2 linked regions of the Diceros bicornis minor genome follow. The protein of the gene in region 2 purifies or fractionates together with the protein of the main gene of each other region. This does not show direct contact. Links are inferred from orthologs where the notes say so. Each region holds a gene or a part of one and is shown on either strand. Other genes may lie near its edges.

Region 1 (7,807 bases), on a different chromosome or scaffold from region 2:
CAAGATATAGAATTTACCTACTATTTTTATTAGCTATTGCCTGGCCTTTGATTAAGACATGAAGTCAGGATGTTGGTCTCTTCTGTCCCCTGCTGGATCTCCAGGGCCTAGGACAATGCTGGCATACAGTAGGCGCTCAACAAATATCTCTTGAATAAAGGAATAAATCTGCTTGACTTCCTCACCTCTTTCGGGTCTCTGTTCAGAGGCACCTCCTTCTAGAGGCCTTCTCCGACACAGATGCTTCCCTGAACCCCATCACTCTGTGCCCCTCACTCAGCTTTATCTTTCTTCTCAGCTCTCATCACCCCTGACATATTATTTATTTATGTTTCTGCTCTCCCAACTCCTTAGTTCCACAAGGGCAGGGGATTCTTCTGTCTGGTTCTAGCTGTATCGGGGGCCAACTTCATGGACACGTGACCTGTGCCTTCGCCCAGGGCCCCGAGCTTAGAAGGTTTAATACGCAGCTGTCATTGTCTTGAAATTCTTCATCCTTTTGAACCTGCATTTGCATTTTGCCCTGGGCTCTGCAAATTCTGCAGCCCGGCCTGGAACAGCCCATGGTAGGTGCTCAAGGATTTGTGGAGTGAAGGAAGGGTGGCCAGAGGAGCCCCACTGGCCGGGGTGGGAGAGGTGGGGGGGGGAGGGGGGGGCAGAGACACGTGTGCGTGCCACCACTGTCTGGACACCCGTGCGCGTTTGCAGGAATCAGCCCTGGCGGAAACCCAGGTTGGGGAGGCAGGGCCTCAGGAGCCAGCCTGAGTGCCCGGGTGGATGGGGGCACTAAACTGCCTTCCCCTCCCCCGGGCAGCAGGCCAGCTGGGGAGGGGCGTCCAGATGGCAGAGCAGGCCACTCTGGGCAGCTGGCACCCGGCTCAGGCTGGGAGAGGCCTTTTCCCCACCCAGCTTGTCAGCCACTGGCCCAGCCTGGGAGCCCCTGGCCTGGCCCGACATGGCTTCACCCAGCCCAACATCCTCCCTGAAAACAATATGGGGACGGGGAGCCAACAAGATGGAAGGAAATGAGGATAAGCACCCTTGGCCACACCTTGGCCCTGAGCCTTCAAGCCTGAATTAGGGGACAATCACTACTCAAGCTCCATGCCTGGAGCTGGAGCAGGGCTGAGAAGGACAGTCAGGGGCGCCGTGCGTGTGTGTGTGCACGTGTGTGTGCGTGCATGAGACTTTGTACCCAACTGTGCATGTGCAACCGGACGGGTGGAACTTTCTGTGAGTCTGAGTTTGCGTAGTTGAGATCAGACTGTACCTGTGGGAGTGTGTGTACAGGACAGGGTGACAGGTCATGTCTGTGTGTGACTGTCATATGAGTGTGTGTGTGTTGGGGAGGTGGGGTACATGCATGTGGATGCAACAGGAACAGCATTTCACAGTGGTTAGAAATGCAGATTTGGGGTTCAATTCTCTGCTCAGCCACTCATGAGCTGTATGGCCTCAGACACATTAGGTTCTCAGGCTTCAGCCTGAGTATTTGTTAGTATGATTACGTTTGTCTGGATTCAAGTGTGTGTGTGAAGAGTAAGCCACCTCCTCCAGGAAGTCTTCCTGGATGCCGAATCTGAATTGCACCCTTTCATTTTTCTTTCTTGTCAGAAGCCATCTATTTCCATCGAAGTCCTAATCATAATTTGTTGTTATATATTTATTTGTTTGTTTATGTTGTTTCTTTTCTGTTTCTTCCACTAAATATCAGCTCCAGGGGGGCAAGGAGTTTTGCTCTGTTCACTGCTGTGTCCCCCGCACCTGGCATATAGTAGGCGCTGAATACTTGTTGAATGGATGAATGCAGGGCTGTGTCTGCATGGTACAGAGGGAGAGGTGGGTGCTCGCTGGGCTCCCAGGGGGCCCTGTGTGCAAGTGTGTTCTCTACTCTCTTTCTTTCTCAGCTGTTCACAACCATGCCTTCAGCCATCCTCACTTTTAGGGGAATGATGTCCCCTTATAAACTCCCTGTATCACCGTTAACACCATCTTTTCCTTTCTCTGGGTCTTACGGACTCAGTTGCTTCATCTGTAAAATGGGAGAGGGGATGGATCGGTTCATGATAAGCTTCCTTCCTGATCTCAAGTGCCATGAAAATAGTTTTAATCTAAGCCCTTCTTTAATTCATTCAACATTTATGGGGCGCCAACTGTGTGCCAGGCCCTGTTCTAAAGCCGGCCCTGCCCTCGTGGAGCTGAAGCGAACAAGGAAGGCAGGAACGACCCAGAAATCTCATTTAATCTCCAACACCCCCCCACCCCCGCCCTTGCCTGATGGAAGGTTCGTCTTCACGGTCTGCAATCGCCGCGGGTACTTCTCTGTTTAGACACGGATCTTGCTCCCTCGCCAGCCTTGAGGGGCAGCAGAGCAGGGACCCAGCTGGTCTTGTTGGTGGCTGTAGCCCCCGCCTGGCCACAGCGCCGTGGCGCATAGCAGGCTCTCGGGAAATATGTGTGAAATGAGCTAAGAAATAAATGATGGAGGAAAGGCAGGCTCGCGTGCATGGCCCCTGGGCATCCTGGCCGTGTCATTACCCACTTTGCAGATGGGGACATTGAGGCTCAGGAAGGCAAAGCCGCTTGCCGGGGCCCACCGCAGCTCAGTAGCGAGTGCGTGGCTGTGGGATACAGCAGACGAAGCTTGTGTAGCCCAGAGGAGCACTCCCAGCCCCCGCGCCCACCTCACAGGTCCGAGAAACGAAGCAGGGGATGCTCTGACGGGAGGAGGGGGGTGGGAGACCGAGGGACAGTGCAAAGCAACTCAGGGGTCTCTGTTTCGGTCCCCAGGGTTGGAGATGCTGTGCTGGCAGGAGATTCGGAAATGCTCCTCGCTGATGGGGCAGCTTCCGGCGCCCTCTCTCCAGTTCTGGGAGCTGGGGCTCCTAGGACCCCGTTTCGCTGGCACCGGGCAGCTTCAGTCTCCGAAGCCGGGGAGAGACCCCCCCGCGCCTACCCGGGAATCCCCGACATCCGGGGTCCTCCCCACACACCCCGAGCCCGGAAGCCGGCCTGAAGCCTCCAAGGGCGTACGGGGGGGGCCCGGCTTTCTTGGGGAGCAGAGGAAGCCCCCACTGTCCTGGCCCCCTCCCTCCGGGGCGCCGGGTCTCCCTCCCCACCGCAGCTCGCAGCCCGAAGCTTACCTTGCAGGGGGGCTGGGGAGGGGATGCCCCGCCCTCTCCGGCCTGGGGGGCGGGAGGGGACAGGGGTGTCCAGACCCTTTGTTTGCTGGGGTGTGTGTACGTGTGTGTGCGCGATTGTGAGACCCGCTGGGGTGTGGGTCCTTGCGCGCGTGCTCGGGCCGTGACGGCCGCTGAGATGCTGGACTGCCCGGGCTGGAGGGGGAGGGGTTGGGGGAGGGGGAGGAGAGGGACTCCCCCGCCCGCCCACTCACGGGGTTGAATGGAGCTCGAGGGGGAGGGGCGGCAGCGGGCGGGCGCTTTTGTTTGAATGGCCCCACCTCCTCCCCAGGCCGGGGAATCCGCCCCCAATCTGGAGCCCTTTACTCCATCCCCTCCAGTCCCCTCCCTGCAAACAGCAGCTCTGGGAAGAGGCGCCCCTCACCCGAGTGAAACTCCTCCCATCCCACCCGGCCCCCACGGAGCGCCCTTTAATCTGAGATAATCCCGGCCCTCGGCTGCAACACGGCCTTTTATCCCAGTATCAAAGCGTGGGTTGGGGTGTACGCAAGAGTGCGGCTGGGGTCGCCCAAGCTCAGAGTAAGGGAGTCCTTAGAGCTCCGGCCGAGGCAGGGGGCCCCAAACGAAAGGGGAGGGCCTGGAGGGGTCCTAGAGCACCACGACGAGGAAAGCCCCCATCCGCACCTCCACGATCCCCCCCGACCCGGCCCTGCACGGGGCCAGGAGCCCTGACCGCTGGCTAGACATTAGCGACACCTAGCGGCCGCACGGGGAGACGCCGCGGGCGGGCGCCCGGGACCCGTTGCGGGGGATCCGGGTGATTCCAGAGTGGGCGTGTGTGCGCGAATCCCCGCTCAAGAGTGGCGGAAGATGAGGACGCTGTGCCCGAGCCTGGAAAACAGCAGCCCCCAAAGCACAGCCACTTCGCCCCCACCTCCGACGCCCCAAGGGCAAGGCCATATCCCTCCTCCAGTTACAGGCTCCCAGGGCAGGGCCCTGTACCCCTCGGACTGGGAAGGTCCCCTGCGATCCGACACACCCCTCCCCAGCGTAGGGTTAGGTCCCTCCCCACACAGGGCAGAGGGGCGGGTAGTTTCGCCGAGGCCCCGCCCCTGCAGTGGGCTCGGGCTGACGTCACTGCGGCGTGACTAAGGGGACAATCCTCTCCCTCAGTCTCACGAACTGTCCCCTCCACCCCACGGCCGCCGCAAACGCCCGACGTGGGGCAGCGGGAGATGCGGGGGGATAGAGGTTAGAGCGCCCTCCCGTATACCCCCAGGAGGTGCCTGGGTCCGGATGAGAGGGGGTCTCGGCGGGGACTCCCGGGGGCCAGCACACGTGCGCAGGGCCCTTTAAGGCGAGCTCGGTCTCCAGCGCCGCCGCCGCCGTTACCAAGGATGTGACGTCATGCGCGGGCAGGGGCGTGCGCGCGCAGGCGGAAACGGAAGGGGCGGGGCTCCGCGGGCTGAGCCTCCAGCGCTGCCGCCGCCGCCGGAGCGGGCTGGGCCGCCGAGGCAAGATGGTGGACTACAGCGTGTGGGACCACATCGAGGTGTCTGACGATGAGGACGAGACGCACCCCAACATCGACACGGCCAGCCTCTTCCGCTGGCGGCACCAGGTAGAGCGCGTGCGCCCATCCCCTTCCCCCGCTGCCGGGACTCCGCTCCGGAGTTCTGCCCCCCGATACCGCCAGGGCCCCGCCATTGACACCCGGGATCCCCACCCCGCAGTCTGGACTTTCATTATCGCCCGGGGTTCCTTGATTCAACTCCGGGACCCCAGAACTGCCGGGACCCTGGGTTCCTGCCCGCGATCCGGGCCCCGCTTCCGATTTCTGCATGGAACTCCCAGTTGATCCATAGGGCACCTTCTTCGGAGGCTAGACTCTCAAGATAAGCTTTGTGGGTGCCCCCCAATCCTGTCTGGGACCTTCCATCTACACTCAGAACTCTGCCTCAGAGTCTGGACCCGGGTCCTATTCGGGTACCCACTTTTCTTGGATATCCCATCGGCCCTCCCCAGTTCCTAGAGTCTGGACCCCTAATACTTTGCTTCTATTCTGGAGTCTTCCTCCCTGGGTCTTGACGGGGTTCCCATTCAGATCCAGAGATCCCACTCCTCCAAACAAAGCAAGGAGCTCTGTCTTCCCCTGAGATTTCTGTTCCTGGCCTGGGACTCGAAGCCATACCCAAGACTCCTTTCCTAGAGTGTAGACCCGTGCCCCCCCAGGGCCTTCAGTCCCATCTAGGACTAGAGTTTTGGAATCGTGTTCCCTTCCAGACTGAGCCACCAGCTCCACCCTGAGGGAGCCTCCACTTCCAGCCGCTCTTCTTTAGTGTCACCCACTGCAGACCTCATTTCCCATCACACCTGGAAACCCTACCCACGTGGCTCCCGCCCAGCCAGAACTCCTGCCTCTGCTGGGTAGTGCAGACCCAGTCATTGCCCACCCCAAGACAGGCTTCCTGTGGGAACCTTTGCTGGCGTTGGAATTGTCACCCAAACCCAAGGCCACCTCGCCTTCCTCCTGACCCCAGGCTGGTCTGCTGTTCTCGGACACCCAGATTGTCCTTGCCCCCACCAGGGACCCTCCCAGTGTGATTCCAAATTCACTGCCCCTTCTTTTATCTCTTTGCTCTTAAATCCAGACCCAGAATCCTAAGTCTGGGTGTCCTCTTGCCCCCCTCCCTGCCCAGCAGTGCTGGCAGACCAACAGAATGGCTCTCATAAGACCTAATGGCCTAACCTGCTCCCCCAAATCAGAACTCCTGTACCCACATACCTATGTTATACTCTCAAACTGAGAGTGTATATTTCTCAGAACCTTCCAGTTAGAAATTCCTCACTCCACTCTCCCATATGGCTACTCCCAGTCATTTATCCAGAACCTCCTAGAAGGGCCCTTCTCTGTCCTGCCAAGACAGGGCGGTAGTCCCTACAGCTGGTTCCCGGTTCCATCTCCAACCCATTTCTTAAAGCAGCTGTCTCTTGGCCTGCCGGGCAAGCCCCTGAGGTGTAAGAAGAAAGTTCTAGCATTTGTGCTTCTTGCCGTGTGTAACACCTTATTATGAAATACTTAAGACCTTCACAAAGCTCTAAAAGACTATTCTTGGGAACACCTCTTTCTGTCACATTCAGAGGTTAATCTATAGCTCAGAATGGAGAAGGGTTTGGTCCTGCTGGGTGGGAGGCGGGTGCCCCCTCTCCTGCAGCGTCTTCCTCCCGCCACGCCCTCTTCCCGCCTCCCTCCTGGCCCAGAACCTTTTCCTGTCCTGCTGCCAAGAGAGCCCCGAGGCTGTAGTGGAGGCAGGGGGCCTCAGCGGCTCCACCAGCAGGCAAGCCTGGGTTCTAATCCCAGCCCTGCCCCTTGCTGCTCTGCTCTGGGGGCAGCAAGACCCCTGGTCCCCAAGACCACTGTAAGAATGAAATGAGGTTGGGTCTGAAAAGAACTTGGCTCAGGGCCTGAGAGGGAGTAAGGTAGCAGAGGGGGCGGTGGGGTTAGTAAAAAGGCATCTGGGTGTGCTTCTGAGCACAGGCCTGCCCACCTGGCTTCACATCCTGGCTCCTGAATCCTTGACTTGCTGCATGACCCCCAGCGAATCTTTTGATCTCTCTGTGCCTCAGTTTCCCCAGCTGGCAGTATTAATAGTATCCACCCCAGAGGGTTGTTATAAGGGTCACCTTATTTGTTTAACGCTTGTAATGCCCTTGGGACAGCAGCCGGCATGTGATGAGCTCTCTGTAAACCTTAGCCATTATTGTCATCATTTTTATTTAGATAATTCACACTCATGGTAAAAAAAAAAAAAATTCCGAAGTTTCCAGAAGGGGACAGGTGAGGCTTCCCAGCTCCAGCTCCCTGGCTCCTTTGCCATTACTGGTTTCTTGGGGCCCTTCCAGTGAGCTGTGCGGCGTCAAGATTCCATGAGCCTCAGTTTCCCTGTCTGTAAGGCGGGGAGGCAGTGGCACCTTCTGGCTGCCGTGGCTTCCGCCCTGCCCGGCCTGCTGCAGCCCCTCCCGGAGGTGTAAAGCCCAGGCCGGGCAGGCTGCCGCCCCACCAGCTCCAAGCCCTTTATTTAGCTTCGGCCTCCCTGGCGGCCACTCAGACGACACCTGGGAGAGCTTGGTGGCCGCGCAGCAGAAGCCAGCAGGGCGGTAGGGTCCTGCTGCCAGCCGAGGCCAGCTGTGTGCCAACCCCAGAGAGCCCCTCGCAAGGCAGAGGGAAGGCTCCAGGGTGACGCAGGCCCACGGTGGAGAAGGGGAGGCGGCAGGGGCCAGGGCTGCCTTCTCTTACCCCTCCACGAGGCGAGAGCCTTCTCCACCCCTTATCCACATGGGGAGAGGGAGCTCCGGGTTGGCCATGCCAGCCCTGTGGGGCCTTAGAGAAGGTTCTCCCCATTCTCATGCTCCATGTGCCTGGCCCTGTGCTCGAACTCGTGATACAGCCTCGAATGAGGCCCAGACACAAGTCAGCAGACCATTCTGGTGGCAGTGGCCGTGACCACGGTCGTAACAGTGGGACCCGTCTACTGATTCCGGTGTTACCGGCAGTTTCTGTCGAGTAGCTCAGTCCTCACAGCAGTGCGAGGCCCCATTTCACAGAGGGGAAACCAAGGCAGGGAGAGGTGTAAGCGGCTTGGCCAAGGTCAAGGGCACGTCACGGG
Region 2 (7,431 bases):
TGCCTTGCATCTTATGTTATTCAAATCTAAGTGGTTTTAAATTAAATATTTTTTAATGCTTGAAACTTAATCACACTATAAGATCCTATCAAATAATGCTAAAAATTCAATTAACATGTTGTTAACAATAATCGTCTTATCTTCCCAAGAGTGAATTCTTGAACTAAAAGGTATAACAACAAAAGAAGTATAGCTATCTTCTCACAAAAATATGCAAAGTTTAAGTAAATTCTAAACTTCCAGAAAAACAATTTGTAAAACAGGTTCCTCTTTTTAAAGAAACCCAAATAGTTGGAAATTTCCATTCAACTTTTTTAAGAAAGAAAATATCTCATATGTTTAAATCAAAATCTAGAGTCTAAAAAATCTTAAATCTCTACTTTGCACAGGACTCTGCTGAGTACATTTGTCCTGTGACATGTTTAACAAAAACATGTTTAGATTTCCAGTGATTCTGAAAACAAATTCTCGTTCTTTGATCTTCTGGACGAAATGTAAATAAGACAGTTTTTAATCAAACCAGCCCCTCACACACAGTTCACACTCTGGTATTCGTTGAATGAATGAATGAAATCTTATTTAAAATATTTTACAGCTATAAAATTACATTAACAAAAAAAGTCCAAAGCAGAACTCTTAAGTACTCTGAACATGCAACTTAAACCAAGAGTCAATGTCAAACTAAATACTTTAAGTCGGAAAACAATTCACTAAAGTAATCATTATGGAAAGGCTAAGTGTAGGGGACAACATGAATACAAATAACAGTTTCAGAAATTTTTTGATAGAATTACTTGAGACTAGATCTTACTTTTTAAATACTACAAGAAAACATACTACGTCAAATACACAGCACAAATATACAACTGAAAACGAAAACTCTACAGTCATCTGAATTCCAATGTTGTCCCATTCATATATTATGTGCACTCCCTCACTTTAAAATGAGAAGCTCAACCAATCAAAGATACTGGGGTTAACCCTAGTGAGAAAGACAAAAAGTAGACCTTCAGATACAGTCTCCTCGGTAAACTTTCAAAGGCAAGTTTATGTATTGGCAAAAGAAAAAAAAAAAAGTACAGTCTTGATAAATATCTTGCAAATAACTGTGCATTCAGTCATATACCTTGGGAAACAAGTAATTTACTCATAGGTAGATACTCTAAAAAAAAGATATTTTCATGTTTGAGACAACTACCTCCTGAATATGTGCGTGTGTTTCAGACAACCACCTCCTGGAATATTCATCTTCATTTATACATATTTTGCAATGATACTCAAGTTCTGAAGACAAACTTGCCCAAACCATCTTTATTGGACTCTTCCACCTTCGGCTTTTTCAACTATTTCCTAACAATGTAAACCTAATTTAACGAGTTTCCACCAAAAACAAAACCACGGGTCGCCTAGTGATTTACGGTATACTCTACTAAGAGATATAATATGACCATGCTTTACCAAATATGGAAGACATATCTAAACTCATGATATGAGGCAGCTGGCAACGTATTAACTGCAAAAAGTCATTATTTCATACCTTTTAGCTACAAGATGAGCTAAACAGTGTGAACAGTTTATTAATACTAGTAATTAATCAATACAGACACATAGGTTTCACTGTCGAATTTCTACTTGGAAATGTTATCCAGTCCAAACTACTGGGCTTCCAACCCATTACCACGCTGGTGAAACGGGCTGGTTTTATTTTCACAACACTATGCTGATGGGAGAAATCAGGGCATCCTAAGCCTTGACTCACGGGTAAACACTTCCTCCGCTTTCTGAAGACCCACACTCAACATCGGTACGGAACACCCGGCCCCAGAGAGACGCACCCCCGCCCCGCTGTCGGTTCCCGGGAAATCCCAGACCCGGAGGGACCGCGCCTAGGAGCCCGGGCGAACGCGGCAGCCCGCGGGCTTCCACTCGGGGCCCTGAAGGGCCCGCCAGCATCATGGCTGATGCGGCCCGACGCGCAGGAGGCGGCGGCGGCCGAGGAAGAGGCTGGTTTGTTTACTTGCAGCCGCGCCGCCGCCGCCAGCAGCGACAGCATCACTGGAGCCGCCAAACCAGCATCTTCCGCACGTTTCTATTCTTAGCGCACAACTCCCGAGCGGATTAGAACCCCAGCACCATTAGGGACGCAGACCGGCCCCGGGCCCCCGCCCACGCCCCCGCCCCGCCGGCCGGCTCCCCCGGGCGCGGGCCGGGGTCGGCGGGGGAGGGGCCCCCCGGGCGCCGGCGCATCCTCGCCCACCCCACCCACCCCCCCGCGCGCGGACGGCCTCACCCGCCCGAACCCCGGCCCGGCGCCCCCGCGTTACATAACCTCGCGCCCCGGCCGCGGACCCTCCCCACGCCCCGCGGCCGGCGGAGCCGCGCGCAGACCGGGGGCGCCGGGCGGGCGCCCAGGCGCGCACCGCGCCGCTAGGCCGGGAGCCCCCGCGTCCCCCGAGAGCGCGGGGCGCCGCGGTCCCCCGCGCCGCGTCCCCGGCCTCCCGCCCGCCGCCCAGCCCCCGCCCACGCCCCCGGCGCGGTGACAACCCCGACGCCCCCGCCGCCGCCCCCCGCCCGAGGGGAGCCGAGAGGAGGCCGGCCGGCCGGGCCGCAGGGAGCGCGGCGCGCCGGGGAGGGGGCGCGGGTGGGGGCGGCGGCTGTTACCTGCAGAGGCGGCGGCGGCCCGCAGCTGCTGGGCGGCGGCGGAGGATGGAGCCGGGGGGCGGGGGGAGGAGAGGGGGCGACTCGGGGGTCCCCCTCCCTCCTCCTCCCCTCCTGTCCTCCCCCCACCCCGCAGAGCCTCGGGCCCCTGGAGCCGGCGGCCGCGGCGGGCAGGCGGAAGGCTGCAGGGAGGAGGGAGGGAGCCGGCCGGGCCGGGCCGCGGAGCTGGAGCGGGAGGCGGCGGCGGTGGCGGCGGCGGGAGGCGGGCGGCGGCGGGAGGAGGCGGAGACTACATGGGAATCGGATATCGGCTACAAATTCGATTCATCACCACGGAACGCCGCCGGGCGGGGGCCGGGCACGCCGGCGAGCGGCGCGGGGGCTCGGGCCGGGGCGGGTCGGGGGCCGCGGCCTCCTCAGCCGGCCGCGCCTCGCCTCACGGGGACCCCGCCGCCGCCCCTCCCTCCCTCCTTCCCTCAGGGGGCCGCCGCTGCGGGGCTTGTTGTTGACTTTGAGGAAAACTCCTGACGTCAAGGCTGGCTCGCGGCGACTGGCGGGAGCGGCGTCCCCGCGCCCCGGCCCGGCCCGCCGCCCCGGCTCCCTCCCGCCGGGCCTCGTCCTCGGGCTGCCCCGCGCCCCCCGGAGCCGCGGCGCCCGCGCCCCTCTCCTCTCGCGAGAACATCCCCCCGGCCAGCCAGCCAGCGCCGGGAGCGGGGGAGTCGTTCCCGGGCGGGAAGTGCCGGGTTTCCCCGCGCCCGCGTGGCCCGCGGCCGGCGCCCGAGGCCCGGGAGGGAGGCTCGCTGCCCCGGGAGGAGCCCGCCGCCCCCACGCGCCCTCGCCGCGGCCGGGCCCCGGGCTGACGCCTCCCGCCACACGGGCTCCCGGGGGGTGGGACCCGCACCTGGAAGCCCCCGAGGCGGCGGTGCCCTGGGGAGGTGACCTCGAGAGCTGGGGGGGGGGGGGGTCCCCGCACCCCAGGGGTCAGTCCAAAACGAAAGACCACTCCCGACTCTCCCAGGAGACCGCACTGTCCAGTCCAGACCCCTCCGAAGAGCCATCCACAGTGCTCCTGGAAGCAGGCATAGCCACACACAGTACACAGGTTGCAGTGGGACCGCGATTCACTCTTAAAATTACACGCGTTTTAGGGACATTAGTTTTCGTTGACTTGGGGGAAGCCTGCCTGGATTGCTTTCACCACAAAGAAGATAACCATTTCTTTCTTTTGAAGTTCATGGCTCCTGAGAATATTTGCCATGGAGACACTATTTTTGCAAAATGGCCATATTTTACCATACACCACACTCCATGAAGTTAGAAAAGTTTGTATTTTTTCTGGCACCATGTTTGTCGCTTCTGGAACGCTTTGAAAATGCCGTATTATTTCGCCACGTGGCTCTAGCCTTGATGTACCTGTTATTTTCCCCAGTGCAAGATTCTTGTTAAGGCTTTTGGCTTCTTTCTGTTAGAAGAGTTCCTCCTCCCGACACGCACTTCCTTCTCTGCTTTTCCATGTTCTGACAACGTTGTGATGGTAGTCATTCTTTTATACTATATCCCTGGTACTTATATAGTGAGTTGTATTTATACATCTGTGTCCACATCTTTTCTGTTGTGAAATGCAAATCTATTCAGATTGTAGACAGAAGTATGTAACCTAATAGGAAAGAAAAGGGGTTGTTTTTAAGTCAGTTTTCTCCATTTGTAAGGGAAACGTTTCCCTGACCATTCTAGAACAAAATTTGCCGTTTTAAGATACACAGTCCACCCAAGAGACAAGTCCTCAATTGCTGCCTTTCTCCTTTTCCCGTATTTCCCAGCACATCAGGAATTAATTAATAAAAAGACTGTATCCTAATTCTATTCAGTTTTTCTGTGTATACAGTACATAATTTATTCCCATAATTATCAGCCCTCTAACAGTCTCTATTGGCAAAATGATTCAGTTACAGATTTCTTGCTGTAAAACACAAAAATGGGTCAGATTTTTATTCTATCGTAACGCAACCCACTTTTTAAGAAAATAGTCCCTTATGACACCAGCACTAAAAAGATTGTCTAGAAATCTCTGTTAAATATTTAACTCTGAGAGTTATAGTATTCTGAATTACTAGATATCTCTTATCAATTGCAATTTTCATTTGTTTTCAATCTCAACATCAACATATTTGTGAGAACCAAATTGTCTTATGAGCCATACTGCCTAAAAATATTTCTCCTAGTCTCATCAGATTGTATTGAATCTTAGCTGGATTAAACCCTAAAATTAAGTATTGTATAGACTACAATGGATTATAGACTCTGGGCTTCATGTATTTGAAAATTGTAAACTTTTATTTTTGCTCTACTTTGCTTTTCTACTATAGTAGTTTCATAAATTTCTATAATAAAACCATGTCGGTTTTTATTGTAGAATTATTATTTATTATAGAACTATTATTTGTTTTGAAAACATTATTTTTCCTTTTAGACTGTGCCATCATGAATTTGGCAGAATCTGCCAGTTGTGGCATGACGGTACTCCATACAGAATGTAAGCTTGATTTCTCCTCCTCTTCCTTGTCATCACATCCCAAAAATATGGGGAGTGGCAGCGTGTTCATCCATGGGAAAGTCCCTCCCAGATTTCAGAGAGAAAGCCCTCATTCTTTATTAAGCTGGATATTCTTCAGGCTAACATCTCTCAGTCGTAGTAATTTATGATTCTGAAGGAGAGTATTCACTCTTCCTGACTGCCAATGAGTAAATTAGATACTGAGAGCTATTTCTTAGTACTTCCATCATTTCTTGGGAGTACCTTAAACTAGAAGGTATATTTAGAATTTTAAGACATCAGGTAACAAAAATTAAGTTATGCTTCTCTTCCTTAGTAAAAAGAGTATCTTGTCTCCAGTGTCTAGGATAGGACATGGCACAAAGTATGAACCGAATAAGTGTTTGTTGACTGACTGAATGAATGAACAAATACATCTGTGCCCTATGTGCAGTTTATACAGTACTGTCCTCTTGGGGTGGCTTATTGGAAAGATCATGAACACACTTGGAGACTTGCAGACCTGAGTTCAAATCCTCTCTCAGCAGAATTTATGTCTCAGGCAAGTTGCTTAACTTTTCTAAGCCTTAATTTCCTCATTTGTGAAATGACAGTTACAACCACTTCATCAGCTTATTACTAGAATTAAATGTGATGAAATATTAGATAGTATCTAAAACATAGTGAGTGGTCAGCAAGCTAAAATTCCTTTACCATAAATGTGAATATATTCGTTAAGATAACTCGAGCTGCTACAAGTAAATACAAAAATCTATCCTGGCACACAACAAAAGAAGTGTATTTCTCATCCGTGTAAAGTTCTGAATGGCAGGCATTTTATTCTTATATATGCTTAGGGCCCAAGTTTCTTCCGTGAAGAACTCTGACACGTTCAACACATAATCACAGCATCGAGCTGGCAGAAGAGGGAAAAGCATGGCGGATCACTCAAGGAAGCTTTTACGCACATTCACGTTCCACTGGCCAGAACGCTCCCAAGCCACCTGACTACAAGGCAGGCCATGAAATGGAGTCTAGCCCAGGAAGAAAAGAAATAGGTTTGATGGACAACCAGCCAGTCTCTGCCATAGTTGGTTTCTGAAATAACTATGTTAAGTCTACAGCTGATTACAGTCTACAGATGATTAATAGAGCAATTTCCAAAAGAGCATAGTTTAAATCCAGGTATAAGAAGAGTCACTTGCAAGAGTTATCAGTACTAATTGTCTTTTTCTCTTTTTCACAGATCTTTCTTAAGGTGTAGGTCAAATGTCTGTATTAGTGACACATGTGAATACCTGAGGAACAGGTATGTCAATAACCTGATGCCATGTGAAACTGGGATACTTAAAGCCCTCTGGAAACCTCCCTCTTATTTCATTGTCAGATTTTTTTCCTGCTACGTTGCTAGAGTATGAATGAAAACTTTTTCATTCATATTGTCACATTCTCTGTTAGACAGCTGAGCCTGTTAGCAACTTAAGCAATCTCATTTCAGGACGCTTGGGTCACAGAAAGTTACTGACCACGGTTAAATAGCTGTGGGGCATCCAGCTAGAATTCATGTTCTAATTCCAAAGCAACAAGCATACATAATTATTATTCCCGGCTGTGCGGGAGAATCAGGTATGCAATAAAACTAATACATACATATTGTAATCCCAGAGCCTCATTTTAGGATACAATTTTAATTTCCGGAGGTGGTGTGCATTTCTAGCTGTTTCAGAATCTGCTCCGTGGGGACTGGACTTTTCAACACAACAGGTAGTAGTGAAATAATGACGGTAAATTTCCACCCCTCACCTAAGTAATTACTTCAACTTCTTCCTCAGTTATCTCATGTAAATACAGTTCTGTTTCAGAAAGTCCCCCCATCCATTTTAAAACACAGTTTCTTCTGCTAATGAAAATACTTTCAGAATCAACTGGAAAGTTTCAAATCTACATCTGACTTTTTTTTTTTTTTGACCCACTACGAAGTCCTTCAATTATTGAATTTGTAATATTTCATTAAGTAATGCTGATTTGCTTTTTTATAGTAGGAGGAAATTCAGTCTCAGAATTTTTCTATTGACCTTTGGTTACTGGACAGAACTATGACCTCTTTAAGTTGCAAACACTATCTCAATTCAGAAATTAGATTTTAATCTGAACACTGAATTTGATTTAGAATTCAAGCCTTCTTGAGGCTGAAAGACTATAGTGGGGAAAGCAAGCTAGCTCAGCTTCTCTCTATTTCT

Evidence for each region.
Region 1: the proteins of AKT3 (region 2) and CDC37 purify together in Homo sapiens (co-immunoprecipitation; 3 studies listed by BioGRID and IntAct, counting the BioPlex papers as one, with this or other methods). This does not show direct contact. The link is inferred for Diceros bicornis minor from reciprocal best matches to the Homo sapiens genes AKT3 and CDC37.

The regions. Positions count from the first base shown.
Region 1 is NC_080769.1:8,806,886-8,814,692, forward strand, and holds the start of CDC37 (hsp90 co-chaperone Cdc37), read left to right. Parts: upstream 1-4,615; 5' UTR 4,616-4,659; coding exon 4,660-4,761; intron 4,762-7,807. Other genes in the region: collagen alpha-1(I) chain-like, read left to right, coding at 2,791-3,263. UniProt on the Homo sapiens protein: Co-chaperone that binds to numerous kinases and promotes their interaction with the Hsp90 complex, resulting in stabilization and promotion of their activity. Inhibits HSP90AA1 ATPase activity.
Region 2 is NC_080777.1:1,522,088-1,529,518, reverse strand, and holds the start of AKT3 (RAC-gamma serine/threonine-protein kinase), read right to left. Parts: upstream 3,060-7,431; 5' UTR 2,662-3,059; intron 1-2,661. UniProt on the Homo sapiens protein: AKT3 is one of 3 closely related serine/threonine-protein kinases (AKT1, AKT2 and AKT3) called the AKT kinase, and which regulate many processes including metabolism, proliferation, cell survival, growth and angiogenesis.